2 linked regions of the Canis lupus familiaris genome follow. The protein of the gene in region 2 purifies or fractionates together with the protein of the main gene of each other region. This does not show direct contact. Links are inferred from orthologs where the notes say so. Each region holds a gene or a part of one and is shown on either strand. Other genes may lie near its edges. The genes, in order: WDR6 and FTSJ1.

Region 1 (8,172 bases), on a different chromosome or scaffold from region 2:
GTATATAGCCTGTGAATGCTCTAGAACACACAATCCTGCTGGCTTGAACCCTGGAAAACCCTTGGCCTCAGCTTCAGCTGGACTTTTAATGCGGACTCTCAGGTGCCTACAGTCACTCCAGACACCTCGGTTCAACCTGGCTTCCTCAAACACAGCCTCTTCCTCACCTCACCTAACTTCTCATGCTTCCAGCAGGAACCCTCGCAGTCTTCATCCCAAATCTGCAATGGCATCTGCCTCTATGCACTCTTCCCACCCTCCCTCCCCTAGGGAAGAGGGGGTCCTCAAAGGTGATCCTCCCATGTTTGGGACATAACAGAACCCCTCTGGATTTCCAAGAGCTTCTTCCATACAGCTCAGATGTGAGCATATTCAACACTGACATGAAAAACCAGGAGAGATGGCCCCCACATCGGTAGCCAAGGCTCCCATGACCCTCAACTGCCTTCTGGCTGCCTGGTGAATTTGTTGATTTTTTTTTTTTTTCTCCCCTCTTACTCAATGCTTTTCACTCCACTGCTCACTCCATTGACTGTTACCAGCCTCTACTCAGCTCCAGCCCCAGCCCCAGCCCCAGCCTCAAACCAGGAAGATCATGGCTTATTCCCCCCTAAGCTTTCCACATCTTCTCATGTTCTCAGTCTCCAAGTCCCCTGTGCTCATTTTCTAAAGATTTTGCAAATCCTCCTCACCACACTGATTGTGGTCCAGGATATCAACTTCTTTTTTTTTTTTTAATTGAAACTACTTTTTTTTTTTTTTTAAAGATTTTATTTATTTATTCATGATAGTCACACAAAGAGAGAGAGAGGCAGAGACACAGGCAGAGGGAGAAGCAGGCTCCATGCAGGGAGCCTGACGTGGGATTCGATCCCAGGTCTCCAGGGTCACGCCCTGGGCCAAAGGCAGGCGCCAAACCACTGCGCCACCCAGGGATCCCTAAACTACTTTATTTTTTGTAAGATTTTATTTATTTATTCATGAGACATAGAGTGAGAGGCAGAGACACAGGCAGAGGGAGAAGCAGGCTCCATGCAGGGATCCCGACCTGGGACTCAATCCCAGGACCCTGGGATTACACCCTGAGCAGACGCTCAACCGCTGAGCCACCCAGGCATCCCTAGGATATCAACCTTTTAACCTGAGATCTTAACCTGAGATGACACTAATAGTCTCTCATGCCATTCTGAGCCTGCAATCTCCATCTTTCCACACTTGACATTCACTGAGCATCGATTATACACCAGACAAGGAACTACACGCTGGGTAGTGAGTAAGACAAACACAGACCCAAGGCTCCTGATCATCAGGCAGAAGCTAAACAGTATCACCCGGGATCCCTGGGTGGCACAGAGGTTTGGTGCCTGCCTTTGGCCCAGGGCACTATCCTGGAGACCCGGGATCGAGTCCCACATCGGGCTCCTGGTGCATGGAGCCTGCTTCTCCCTCTGTCTGTGTCTCTGCCTCTCTCTCTCTCTGTGTGACTATCATAAATAAATAAATTAATTAAAAAATAAATAAGTAAATAAACAGTATCACCCAAATAAACTACATTGTTACATAACTTCGGTAAATTCCAAGAAAGAACTATACAGGCTGCTTTAACATAAAAGAGGGAAATCGACTTCTGTGATTTTTCCCTCCAGAAGACATTTAGCAGTATCTGGAGACATTTTTGGTTGTCACAACTGGGTTATGTTAACTGGAATCTAGGAGTAGAAGCCTTGCTGTCTGTGATTTGAAACGTCCTGTGAATCACAGACAGCCCCTCACCCAAAAAATGACCTGGGGGAAAGGGTGCAAGGTTTGAAAGATGGCAGACAACATGGACCAGCAACAAACTACCAACACCGTAGAAGAGCCCCTGGATCTCATCAGGCTCAGCCTGGATGAGCGAATTTATGTGAAACTGAGAAATGACCGAGAGCTTCGAGGCAGATTACATGCTTATGATCAGCATTTAAATATGATATTGGGGGATCCCTGGGTGGCGCAGCGGTTTGGCGCCTGCCTTTGGCCCAGGGTGCGATCCTGGAGACCCAGGATCGAATCCCACATCGGGCTCCCGGTGCATAGAGCCTGCTTCTCCTTCTGCCTGTGTCTCTGCCTCTCTCTCTCTCTCTGTGACTATCATAAATAAATAAAAATTTAAAAAAAATAAATAAATAAATAAATAAATATGATATTGGGAGATGTGGAAGAAACTGTGACTACTATAGAAATTGATGAAGAAACATATGAAGAGATATATAAATCAACAAAACGGAATATTCCGATGCTTTTTGTCTGGGGAGATTGTGTTGTACTAGTTGCTCCTCCATTAAGAGTTGGCTGAAACAAAGAATTTATCGTGTATGGAATACAGGAGATTTTGTATGATTGCCTCTTTAAATGTAGAAGACATCAAAAGAGAAACCTGCATTCATTTTGATATTAAGAAATGACCAAGGATTCTTCCACTCCTGAAATGAGTTGATTTGCAGATAACTCAAAAATTCTTAAGCTAAAGGGTGTTTAATTTTTTTCCCAACTCTTTCAATAAATGTGATCACCAGGATGCAGAACTCTTTGTTTTTTTATTTTTTATTTTTTTAATACTTTTTTTTTTCTTTATTTATTTATGATAGTCACACAGAGAGAGAGAGGCAGAGACACAGGCAGAGGGAGAAGCAGGCTCCATGCACCCGGAGCCCGACGTGGGATTCGATCCCGGGTCTCCAGGATCGCGCCCTGGGCCAAAGGCAGGCGCAAAACCGCTGCGCCACCCAGGGATCCCCAGGATGCAGAACTCTTTGTTCAGGAATTCATTTGCTCTGTTGTTTTCTCAGACAATTTCTGTTATTTTTTTCCTTTAAATTAAATTTCATGTTTCCTTTTTTAAATTAAAAAAAAAAAAAAAAAAAAAAAAAGACCTGGGCCAAACATCAACAGTGCAGAGACTGAGAAACTCTAGTGCCATCTAAGCAGACTTGGTGACTATCAGGGCAGGCCACCCTGAGAAATAAATAAGCTGTGGTAACCAGAGGAAGAGCAGGCATGCGGGGGAGATGGATGAACCTTTCTGGACGAAAGGAACAGCAAGTTTGATGGAGGTGAGCAAGAACTCTAGGTCATGTGGTTGGAATAGGAAACAAAGGGCTGGGGGATGGACTAAGAGAATGCTGCTGATGGGGTCCAGGAGCCAAAGTTGCATAGCCTCGAATGATGGCAATAAGTAGAGAAACAGACAGATGCCACAACTTTGTAGTCAAAATCAACCAGACTGGCTTGAGGACTGAGGGAGTGGCTTGGGCTTGAGCACCTGGGTGGCTGTTGTTCCCCTTGCTCAGCTGGAGTACCCAGCAGGAGTATTTCAATTTTAAAGCACCTGTGCACTTGGGCCTAGAACTTATAAACAAAGAAGGCTGGAAATTGAGATTATAAGTGCACATAGGTAGAATCTGAGAATTGTAAAAATATAAAAATCACTTTGGAAGTCACAGGAGCAGAATTCACTTGAAGAGCTTTCTAACCCGCATTTCCTAAATCATTTCCCTGCTTAAAACCCTTCAAAGGGCCTCTCTCCACGACCCACCATTAAGTCAGATCTAGGTATAAAATAAAACAATCTGGCCTCTGCTCATTTCTCCAGCCTCTTCTCCCAGACTCCACTCCTGCTCAGTCTCCCAGGAACTCCCTCTCTTCCCCAAAGTAACAAATTATCAGCATCAAGGCCTTTAGCAGGCTTATCCTCACCAAGAACTCACCTCTTCTCTTCTCTTAGCTCATTCCTGTGATTCTTTGGGTTTCTGCCTACCTATCCCCTTCTGCAAGAGCCTTAGAAGTCTAACCCATGATAGGAACCTTGGACTCCCAGAGCTCCCACACCAGATCCCTCCTCTTGCACAAAACCATTCTCTCAGGGGACGCCGAGTGGCTCAGCTGTTGAGCGTCTGCCTTTGGCTCAGGGCGTGATCCCAGAGTTCTGGGATCAAGTCCCACATCAGGCTCCCTGCATGGAGCCCGTTTCTCCCTCTGCCTATGTCTCTGCCTCTCCCTCTGTGTGTCTCTCTTGAATAAGTAAATAACATCTTAAAAAAAAAAAAAAAAAACCACACCCCCCCCCCCCCATAGGATAGGAATCTCATTCAAGGCTTGAGAGTCAATGTCCTGCCTCAGGAACCTTAAAAGACCCAGCAGCACCACCATCAGTAACTAGTGGCTTCCATTCGGTCCTCGATGCTCTCCAGGGTTCTGCTGCTTCAGATGGCCCATGCTTCTCGACCTGACCTTCCGCGAAAGGCCATCAACATTGGATTCCCTGGATGCAACTATCTCAGAAGAGGCCTCGGGGTCTGCCTCCGCAGCCACTGGCCCAATCGGAAAGGTTTCATCCTTGGTTTCCTGGTTTCCCGCCACCCATCCTCGTCATAATCACCTTCCAAGGAGAAGCCTCACCCGCCCCTCGGAGGCCAGAGCCCCGTCTACCGGGCCCCGCCCACCCCCACCCTCCCCAGATGCCACACCACAGACCCTCCCCTCCCAACTCCCCAACCTTGAGGGGGCTCACCTCCAACCTACCAGCTCCGCTCCCGGAAGGGGCCACACACCGTTCTCCCTCTCTTCCCCGCCTCCCAAGCCACTGCGGTTCCCCGTGCTTTCCCGCGGCCCCACCGCCCTTTCCATGTCAGATGCAGATTGTGAAGGAACTCGACAGCCACATCGGGTTGGTTTTTTTTTTTTTTTTCCTTTGGGGCCCCTCCGGCCGGGTCTCCAGCCCATCTCCTGGGTTCCCGCCCACCTCGGTCGGGCTTCATCCGGCCGCCCGCCCTCCTCCTTAGGGGCATCCCTTTGTTCTCATGGTCCCGCCCCATGCGAGCGCCCGGGTTCTTATCCGCTAGCGCGCGCCTCGAGCCAAACCTCACCCGCCAACAGCCGATCCCCCACGCACTCCAGACCCGTGACCGGGAGCAGTATGAGCTCGGAGGTTGCCCGCGGCCAAACGTAGTCCTCGGGAGCGTCCATGACGATCCTCTAGCCGCGGCGCCTTCCTTTGCCAAGAAGGGATCTGGGCTCTCGCGAGACGAACCTTCCTCGCGCGCAGCCGAGCCGATCTGCAGCGGCCTTGGCAACAGGTAGCCGAGCCCAGGGTCGCCCGCGGCCGGTGTCCAATCACGACCCTTCGCCCCACGCAAGCCAGCTCGTCATTGGCGAAGGCGTCCTCGCCCCTCCCCCTGACGTGAGGCTCGCCGAGCGCTGCGGCCCACCCCTACAGGCCGGGTCAGCCTGCCCCCGACCCCACCTGCGCCTTCGCGGCCCAGCAGCTCAAAGCCGTGTAGTTTTATTGGAGGGGGCATAATGGGTCTGTACACAATAAATAACACGAATATAGGAACGGTGCCCTAGTCGCGGCTGGAGACGGGATGGGGCAAGACCTCGGCCGAGCCTTTGGCCTGCATCTGGACAGGCGAACGGCGGGTCCCCAGACCTGGGGCGGCAGGAGGCCTGTGGCTGGGGGCTGAGGCCCGCCCTGCCCTCAGAGCTCCACGCGCGCGTCGCGGTAGGCCCGGTCCACGGCCCACTCTGGCTGGGAGTCGGCGCCACCTTCTCGGGCCAGGCGCGCCATCTCCTGCTGGAACAGTGCCTGCCGAGCCCGGCTGGGATCCACATTGATCCAGTTGTTGGCAATCCACTTAGTGCCGCGTGTGACCAGGCAGCCCCCGTGCAGCGAGTAGTCATCCACGTCGCCCACCCAACCTAGAGAGGAGGATGGTGTGAGCAAAGGAGGGGACCAGAGGGACTCTAGGCTGTGCTGACCTGAGCTTGACCTCATAGGGGCCAAGGGCATGGCCAGGGTGGGCCCAGCTGCGCACACATGTAGGGGCAAAGTCTGGCCCCAAGGTCTCCTTGGGGCATGGTATCTCTCTCCAACTAATGCACTGACAAAACTACTGGTCTGAAACCAGCCTTCTTGCTCCTAGTCCTGTCCACAGCCTGAGTCAATGACAGATGTGTCCCCAGCCCCAGTGAGCTGGAAGGCTAGAGCATCACGGAATCCATTACAGACCTCAAGGTAACCCAGGAGGCTACACAGGTGCGTGCCCCTGAAGTCACTGAGGATGGTCTTTTGGAGGCACCAGGGACAGAAGAACATTTGTAGGGGTGCCAGAAACATCCCACCAGGGTGGCTGTCTGGGCTGGGTAGGCTTCCCTCATGGTACCCTTGGCCTGGCCACAGGCCCTCACCTTGTCCATCAGGCAGGTAGTTGTACCAGAAGACTGCTGTGCCCTGCCGGGGCTTGACACGCAGATTCCCCTTGTCACAATGCCTCCGAGTGTCGCGGAGATCAACATCATCCTGAATCAGACTCTGTGGGCAGCAGGATGCTGGGGTTCTCAAACTGCCCCCACTGTACGCCCAAGGGCCAGGGCCAGGAAGCCAAAAGTGGCCAGAGGGAAACCAGTCAGAAGTGCCCAGGGGATCACTTAGGCGCATCATCCCAGGTCTGGAGGGGTATATACTATGATTGCCCAAGGCCTTGCCATCCCACCAGAGTAACAGCCTGGTTGGCCCTTACCATTTCATCGTAGGTTCTGTTGTCTGCTACAGGGAAGACAGTCTCGCCCCCACCGGTGACGTTGTTCAAATAAAACAGCACTGTCATGTAGCTGTAAGGCAGGGGGCCTGCTGAGCAGCTGTGGACACTCCCACGGGCTTACCTGTGGGCAGGATAAGCTGCCCAGGTTCCCAAGGGCAAGAGGGGCAGGCTGAGATCAGTAACACTGCACATCAGTGCCAAGATGTCCCTAAGCCAGTCCTTCCTCCCACAAACCCAGTCTCTATGTATCAGACTGTTTTGTGTGATCACAGGTGCACTTCGCTAAATTGCATGGCTGGCAGGGAAAGGTATGCGAGCAGAAGCAGCACAACCATGCAGGAGGGCTGGCTGGGAATAGAAGGGGCTGACCCAGAGCAGTCACACGAAGGGTAGAGACCTGCCGACCTGCCCCCCTGCCTCAGCAGGGAAGGGGGACAAAGCTTCAAAGAGAGAAGCTGAAGCCTCCAGCAGTGGAGAAGAATCAAGACCCAGGGGAGAGGGGGGCAAAAAAAGCTGGAGACTCAGCCTTGCCCCATGCCTCAGAGCTCTGGGAACAAGTGTTACTGTCTGTGGGTACCTTAGTTTAGCCACCCCTTTCCTGCCACTTGGTAAACAAACTGCAGGGAAAGATGGGGTATCCTCAGACGGATGGCCCAGCGCTCCCCTGGCCTGACACCAGGGGTATACCGGTAGGGCAGGGCTGTGTTTATGTCATGGGAATGCCTAGTCTGGGAGTTGAAGGCCACCCCAGGTGGGAGGTACTTGCCGGCAGGAGGTCTCGAAGGGTACAGACTCATTGGCTACCAGCTTGGTATGGGAGCAGATGGTCTCTGGGTACACAGGCCCGCTGTCCACATGGGCATGGTAGTGGCCTCCCTCGCCATACCGCACAACCTGCAGTGGCTCACTGAGCTCCACGATTTCAGGTGACAGGCGGGTGAGGCGGAGCACCCTGGTGGACAGCAGGCATTCAGCTGAGCAGTCCCATGCAAGGTGGTGCCCTGGAGAAGCCAGACCCCGGACCTGCCACCAGCTCTACCACTGCCCAACTCCCCTGAAAGCCCCTGACATCAACCCCAGACTGGCCCGGTAGGAGCAGGAAGGGGTTACTCATGAGCCCTTCTCCCTGGATGCCAGAGACTGCGTTGGGTGGGGAAGATGAGATTTCCACTAAATTGGGAGTGGGGGTCACTCCCTCCAGGAAGGAGGTTGCTTATCTAAAACCCCTGGCTGCTCAAGGGCAGGGGGGCCTGTGGACAGAGATAAGACGTCATTTCTCTAATTAGCGAAAAACAAACATTGCAATCTATTTCTAATCCCAAATGTATATTGTTTGCCCACAATTAGGGTTAATTTGCCTTTGTTAATTGCCTGTCTTTTAATGGATCCTAATCCCGGTCTAACAAGTAGAACTTAATCCTGAGTTGGCTAACCAAGTCTGTCCCCTTGGCCCCAACCAAGAACTTCTGTGTGGGCCCCACCAGACCTGCTCCTGCTGCGGTGCTCACCTCTGGCGGATGGCGCGCATGACGTGGTGGGCACCTTCGCCCTGGTAGAGCCACGTATGGTGGCTGTTCCGCACCAGCTCGCTGGA
Region 2 (7,555 bases):
TATGTCAAGGTTACTGAGGTTTTTGGCCTAGAACAGCTGGAAAGATCAGATGGAATGGGAAAAGTGGGGTAAGGAGAGAGGTTTGAGCAGAAAGGTCAGGAGTCTGGTCTTGGACATGCTGAGTCTGAGATGTCCAGTCTGATCTGTGAGTCAGGTGCTCAGAGGAGCAGTCTGGGTTGGAGGTAAGAAATAATAATAATGATACTTGTATATAAGGTGGTTTGGAAAATTAGAATGAGTTCCTAAGGGTTCAGAGCCCAGAACACGCATCCAGTTGGCAGGTGGTAATTTGCGTGCAGAACCTCAGTAGGAGGAGAGCCTGGGAAATGGTTGTAGCATCCTGACCTGTCTGGGATGAGGAGATAGCCAGAACCGGCTGGCCCTCCTAACACTGTTCTTCTTGCTGCAGTAACTGGCCTCCATGATGTTGATGAATATATGCAGGCCCAGCTCCTCCTAGCCGTGAGTAACCTTGGCCACCCCTGCCTCAGTTTGGACCCCTCATGCCTGTCTCCACCTCAGCCTTAGCCATTTGTCCTGCCCACAGGCTCTGAATATTGCTACACATGTCTTGAAGCCAGGGGGATGCTTTGTAGCCAAGGTGAGCATTGGAGGACCTGGTGAGGGCAAAATAAGGGTCCTCCAGGGCCGCCCTTGTGCCTTCATCCCCTGTCTCCTCGCCCTACAGATCTTCCGAGGCCGGGATGTGACCCTGATCTACAGCCAGCTGCGAGTCTTCTTCTCTAATGTGCTCTGTGCTAAGCCCAGGAGCAGCCGCAACTCCAGCATAGGTCAGTGGGGTGCAACGGACAGGCAGGCAGACACGAATCTTGGGGATGCATCTTGTGTGGGGTGGAGGTAGCAGTCACCCCTCGCTCTACCTTCCACCCACAGAGGCCTTCGCTGTCTGTCAGGGTTATGACCCCCCTGAAGGCTTCCTTCCAGACCTGACCAAACCCCTGCTGGACCATTCGTACGGTGAGAGCCAGAGTTCTGGGCCCCCTCCCTGGGGAGACTCTACCCCCTTATGGAATGTATGTCTTAGGAGGGCCCTCAGCCCCACCCCTGTATGGATGTTTTGTCCCAGGAGGATCTTCATCCCAGTCTTCTCATGGTTACTCTTGGGTCCCAAGTCCTGCCCCAGTGGAGATTACGCCCACCTAAGTTTCTAGCCTAAGAAGACTGGGTCACGCACCCAGGTGGATACTCCACCCCTGCATGGGAATTTGGCCTCGAGAGAGTCTTTAGCCTGGTCCCTAGAGGGAAAAGGCACAGAGCCTGCTCTTAAGGTGAACACACTTGAGTGAGACAGGGTTCAGGCAGCTTATGGTAGAATGGCAGGTGAACATAAGGCGCAGTGTGAGAAGAGCAGGAGAGGGGGATGCTCTAGAACAGGTGATCTTGGAGGGGCTCCCTGAGGAGGTGATCTGAACAAAATGAAGGATTTCTGGTGGAGGAGTGTGAGAGTAGCTGGTAGGTACATAGGAAGGATTCTGTACCCTTGCTGTAGAAGGAGTCCCAACTGGTCCCAGGCATCCCAGTCCTGTCCTGTCTTATTTCTCCCTGCTTGTCAGATCCAGATTTCAACCAATTAGATGGTCCCACTCGCATCATTGTGCCATTTGTGACCTGTGGAGACCTGAGCTCCTATGATTCAGACCGCAGTTACCCACTGGACGTGAGTGCCCAACCAATAGTAGGCAGGGGATGGCGGGGTAGAGGGGCTCTCCTGGGTTCTCATATCCTCACCATCTTCCCCCAATGTGTCCCTGCAGCTAGAGGACGGCTCAGAATATAAGTACACTCCACCCACGCAGCCCCCCATCTCGCCACCGTACCAGGAGGCCTGCACGTTGAAGAAGAAGGGGCGGCTGGCCAAGGAGCTCCGCCCCCAGGACTGCCCCATCAGCACAGTGGACACGCTGTCCCAGCCCCTGGCGGCCCCACAGCGCCACACCCTGCTGGCCCCTGAGGTCCGGAAACCTGTGGCCCAGGGCCCTCTGTGCCCTTTCTCTGAGCCCACAGTGAGCCCCTCTTAGTGTACCTCTCTCTGTCCCCAAATGGCGTGGTTCTGGGGCAGGGTAGAATGCTCATCCCTGCCTCCCAGCAACTATAAAAAGTTGATGGGTAAAACCAAGTGTAATGAATGGAAAAGCTTGGCAAGTACCTGAGTCATTTTTCTTTTTCTTGGGTAGGTGGAAGACAGTGAAATGAATTGTTCGCCTTAATACACTCAGGTAAATTTGCCTTTTTAGCTAATAGTTTGAGTGAAGAGCACCTTTAAGAAAAAAACTCAGGAAAATTTCACCTTTGAAATGTTTATATCAACTGATAAGATTTCAGTCAGCCCACCTTTACTAAGTACCTGATGTCACATGCCAAGAACTGCTTTCAGTGTTTTAGGTATGGAGGCATTCAGCAAACTGTTTCTTTTTTTTTTTAATTAATTAATTTATTTATTTATGATAGTCACACACACAGAGAGAGAGAGAGAGAGAGGCAGAGACATAGGCAGAGGGAGAAGCAGGCTCCATGCACCGGGAGCCCGATGTGGGATTCGATCCCGGGTCTCCAGGATTGCGCCCTGCACCAAAGGCAGGCGCCAAACCGCTGCGCCACCCAGGGATCCCAGCAAACTGTTTCTTAACCACACGCTGTGTGCCAGGCATTGTTCTAGTTTGGGAGATAAAGCAGGGAACAGAACAGGCAAATATTCTGGTGCTGGTGGAGCTTCCAGATTGGGAAAGGGGTAATAAAAACAGCTTATGAATGCAGGAGTTTCTACACACGGCATACACATAGATACATTATATATGCATACTTGTACACATACACATTTCTAGCTTTCATTTCAGTATATATAGCTTAAATTATACTGTAGATATAAAGGTATATTTATATATATATCATATATATATGTAAAGGTAATAAGGGATATAAAAATTTTTTTAAAGATTTTATTTATTTATTCATGAGAGACACACAGAGAGGCAGGCTCCATGCGGGGAGCCTGATGTGGGACTTGATCCCGGGTCTCCAGGATCACACCCTGAGCTGAAGGCAGATGCTTAATTGCTGAGCCACCCAGGCATCCCAAGAATTATTTTTAATAAAGTAAGGTAAACAGAATCAGGAATTTCAGGGGTGGCAGTTTTTCAGTTTTTAAATGGGTTATCATGGAAGGGCTTACTGAGGTAATGTTTGAGCCAAGACCTAAAGGAGGTGAGGGAGGGAATGCATGTGTTCATCTAGGGGAAGAATGTTCCACGGAGAGAGAGTAGCAAATGCAAAGATCCTGAGGTAGAACTATGGCTGGTGTGTAAGGGAGTAGCGAGGGGCCAGTTCTGCTCCTAAGAAATAAGTACCAGAATTCTTCACTGGCACTATTTGTACCCTCAGGCTAGATATAGCCCAAACATCTATTAACTGCAGAGTGGATCATTAAATCATGGTATATTCACAGTGGGGAATTACACAGCAATGAGAATGAACATACTACAATTATGAAAACACCTTGTCAGTCCTTAAACTGAACCTATATAAAACATGTAAGTGTGTATTTTTCTGTATGTTACAGTTCACAATAGAAGTGGTAGGGGGGAAGGTCAAAAAAATGTTAGTACTGGGGCACCTGGGTGGCTCTGTCAGTTGGGCATCTGCCTTGGGCTCAGGATGATCCCGGGGTCCTAGAATCAAGCCCCACAATCAGGCTTCCTGCTCAAGGCGGAGGCTGCTTCTCACTTTGCCTCTCCCTCTGCTTGTGCTCTCTCTCTGCCTGTCAAATAAATAAATAAAATTTTTTTAAGTTTTTAAAAATTTTTTATTTATTCATGAGAGACACAGAAAGAGAGGCAGAGACGCAGGCAGAGAGAGAAGAAGCAGGTTCCATGAAAGAAGCCTGATATGGGACTCAATCCTGGGACTCCAGGATCACGCCCTGGGCCGAAGGCAGACACTCAACTGCTGAGCCACCCAGGGGTCCCAAGTACTGACATTTCTTTAAAGATTTTATTTATTGGGATGCCTGTCTTCAGCTTAGGGCATGATCCCAGGTCTGGGAATTGAATCCTACATCAGGTTCCCTGTGGGGAACCTGCTCCCTCTGCCATTGTCTCTGCCTGTGTGTGTGTGTGTGTTTCTCATGAATAAATAAATAAAATCTTTAAAAAGAAATGTTAGTAGTTGAGTGAAAAATAATTATGGGAGAATGTATGTTTAAAATTTTCTCTGTCCCTGATTTTAGGTAGCTGGCAGTCTACTACAACCCAGAAGCTGTTTGGCGACAGGAAAACGAAAGAACTTACATTGATGAACTCATTTTCAAATATCTCATCAACGGGTCCTGAACATTCAAGCCCTGAATGGTAACCCACAACAACTAGCAGGAGCCCAGCAAGGAAAGCAACAGCACAGTATGCCTGTCTACACCACAGAGGGGATTTTTGAGCGAGGCCTTGCCTCCTTTCTAAATCTTTCCAGAGGTGTCCTGATTATTTCTAGAGTTTACCCCCAAAGTAGGGGTTCTTCACCGTATAGAAATCAGGGGTATCTGTGAACCTGATGGAGGAAAATCTTACATCTTTATTTTCACTAATATAACTGAAATTTCACTAATATAACTAAAATTTAGCTTTACTCCCCAATAGGAATACTGGCAACAAATCACAATAGTAAAAGCAGTGCCTGTTACCTTTTACCTTCCCACCAATACAAATTAGTTACTTTTTATGTTCCATTACAGTTTTTGCAGGCATCTTAAGATGCTGTTCACGTTTGGCACTACTTTGACTTATAGAAGATCTTATAATTTGATGTACTAATAAAAAAGTCCATATATTACTGTATGCCAGTGTTGTTTCATTTTAATATATATAGTAATATTTGTTCTCATTAACATAAGACATAAATTTAAAGTATACAACCTAATTCAATGTATACTTATTGCAGAATGATTACAGTAAGTTAATATGCATCACCTCACAGAAATTTTTTCCTGTGATAGGAACTTTTAAGATCTCTCTCTCTTCTCTCTTTTTTTAAGATTTTATTTTATTTATTCATGGGAGACACAGAGAGAGAGGCAGAGACATAGTCAGAGGGAGAAGCAGGCCCCCTTGTAGGGAACCTGATGCGGGACTTGATCCGGGGACTCCAGGATCATGCTCTGAGCTGAAGGCAGACACTCAAATGCTGAGCCACCCAAGTGTCCCAAGATCTCTCTCTTTTCTAAATATTTTATTTAGCCATTTGAGAGAGAAAGAGTGCAGGGGTGAGGAGGGGGAGAGAGATAAGAGCAGGCTCCCTGCTGAGCAGGGAGCCCGACACAGTGCTCGATCCCGACACAGTGCTCGATCCCGGGACCACGCCAAGACCACAACCCAAGCCAAAGACAAGCCCATCTGACTGAGATACTCAGGCATCCCCAAGATCTACTCTCTTAGAACCTTTCAAATATATGATCTGGATAATCATAGTCACTATCCAGTACCTTACAGCCCTAAACTTATAACTTGAAGTTTGTACCTTTTGACCACCTTCACCCATTTGACCCCTGCCTCTGGCAACCATCGATTTATTGTCTGTTTCTAGGAGTTTGGGCTTTTTTAGATTACACATACAAGATCTTCACTTCATAGTATTTGTCTTTCTCTAACTTATTGCACTTAGCACAATGGACTTGAGGTCCATCTGTCTCACAAATGGCAGGATTTCCTTTCCATGGCCAAGTAATCTTCTATTGTATATATAAATACATATACCACACTTTATCCATTCATCTGTCGACAGACAAGTAGTTTTTTCTCATATCTCTGCAACAAGAACCCCTATAAGCGATGTCAGAAAGTCTGCCTTGACTGCAGTGCTGAATTTCTACAAGTTAGCCAACAGGAGCTGCCAAGCTCACCAGCTACACAGGCAGAACTAGTTTCTGTAGCTTACACCTGTGTCTAGAAACACATTCTCTTTTTTTTTTTTTTTTTTTTGGTTAGAAACACATTCTCTGTGTACACCTCAATTTGGTGACCTCAGGACCACCCACATCCCAGTTGGTGACCCTAGATGTCTCTGTCCTTGACGGTGTGAACCTGGGCATGTCCATACTGAGTCTATAACGCTGGATGTTGGGGATGGGGCACACTACACAATGTCAAACCAGGAGTCTTCTCACCCAAGCAGTGTGATTCTGGAAATGTATAACAGAAGTATCTGCGCAAAAGCCTACATGGCCATGGCATATCTGTACCTATTACCATGTAAATTCAAAGTGTCCACACTAGAGGCTGAGGCCCCAGGAGTAGCCAACTAAATCTCCAGGAGTATAAACACACCAGCCCTTGAGACCCAGCAAATACCCACATATCAGGTTTTGTGTCCATAATCGCATCCAACCCCATCTGTATGATATCTGGCATATACACACAAGTCCCTGTGATGGGAATAATTTCCAATCCCCAGACTGTGTGACCCAGCAGTGTCCCAAGCCCTGAATGTGTGGCCCAGGAAGGGCCAGCCTAACTCAGTTTCAGTCTCCCAACTTTGGGAGCACCCTGTCTGGCTCTGAGTTTGGATACCATACCCTTGCAACTCCACATCCCTCCATGTGACCCCTGAATTTTCCACACCCAAGTCAATTTGTCTACAGAGGCATGTGTATCCCATACCATGTGTCCCCAGTTGAGCATTTACCATAGTCTGAGTGACCCCTTGTGTGTCCTTAGGAGCACACCCCTCATCTGTGTTACCACAGAATTGTTCACACCCTAGTCCATCACCATAGGCCCAGTCGTTGTCCCCTGGGAGTGATCCTTCTTCAGACTTTGAAATGCCAGAAGTGTCCACACCAAGTCTGTGTAATCCCAGGAGGGCCCACAGCCAGCCTGTTTCTCCAGAAGTCTCCACACAATAGCTTGTCTGTGTAAACCCAGGATGATCAACTTTCTACGTGACCATGGGAGAAGCCACAACCCCGTCTTTGTGTCCTCAGGGTGGCATACCCTTAGCCACCCTGATTCCTGGGGTTTTTACACCTTAGGCTATGTGATCAAATAAGTCTCCATGCCCCAAGCTCTGACCACCAGGGAGTCACTCCCTAGTCGCAACTCTAAAGGGCTTTCCACACCTCAATCTCTGTGGCCCCAAGTCCATTCACTACATTGCCTGCGTGGCCATGGGAGTTTCCACTTCCCAGTCTGGGTGACCCTAAGAGCAGCCAAACTCTTGTCTGTATGATCCCAAGAGTGTCTATATCCCAAAGACTGTGAGCAGGGGAGTGTCTACACTTCAGTACAAACACTTTCTCTTCCTTCTCTTCCTTGTCTCTGGGACCACAGATGAGTCCTGGCTGTGTCCACATCCCAGTGTCTGACTACAGAAACGTCCAGAGCCCAGCCCATGAGGATGTGTCCCACGATCAATGTGAGTCCAGAAGTGGCATCAGCCCAGTCATTGTGACCACAGGAGTTTCCATATCACAGTCGGGGGCACCATGAGCTCATGTGTGGCAAACTGTGGTCACAGAGGTGTCCATACTCCAGTCTACGGGACTCCACACATG

The links.
Region 1: the proteins of FTSJ1 (region 2) and WDR6 purify together in Homo sapiens (affinity purification with mass spectrometry; 3 studies listed by BioGRID and IntAct, with this or other methods). This does not show direct contact. The link is inferred for Canis lupus familiaris from reciprocal best matches to the Homo sapiens genes FTSJ1 and WDR6.

The regions. Positions count from the first base shown.
Region 1 is NC_049241.1:40,559,721-40,567,892, forward strand, and holds the start of WDR6 (WD repeat-containing protein 6), read right to left. Parts: upstream 5,146-8,172; 5' UTR 5,005-5,145; coding exon 4,905-5,004; intron 1-4,904. Other genes in the region: P4HTM (transmembrane prolyl 4-hydroxylase), read right to left, coding at 5,516-5,736, 6,226-6,349, 6,558-6,648, 7,345-7,530, 8,087-8,172. UniProt on the Homo sapiens protein: Together with methyltransferase FTSJ1, methylates the 2'-O-ribose of nucleotides at position 34 of the tRNA anticodon loop of substrate tRNAs. Required for the correct positioning of the substrate tRNA for methylation.
Region 2 is NC_049260.1:41,934,622-41,942,176, forward strand, and holds the end of FTSJ1 (putative tRNA (cytidine(32)/guanosine(34)-2'-O)-methyltransferase), read left to right. Parts: intron 1-409; coding exon 410-462; intron 463-547; coding exon 548-601; intron 602-688; coding exon 689-791; intron 792-894; coding exon 895-978; intron 979-1,574; coding exon 1,575-1,678; intron 1,679-1,775; coding exon 1,776-2,024; intron 2,025-2,195; coding exon 2,196-2,228; 3' UTR 2,229-2,237; intron 2,238-4,243; 3' UTR 4,244-4,844; downstream 4,845-7,555. UniProt on the Homo sapiens protein: Methylates the 2'-O-ribose of nucleotides at positions 32 and 34 of the tRNA anticodon loop of substrate tRNAs. Requisite for faithful cytoplasmic translation.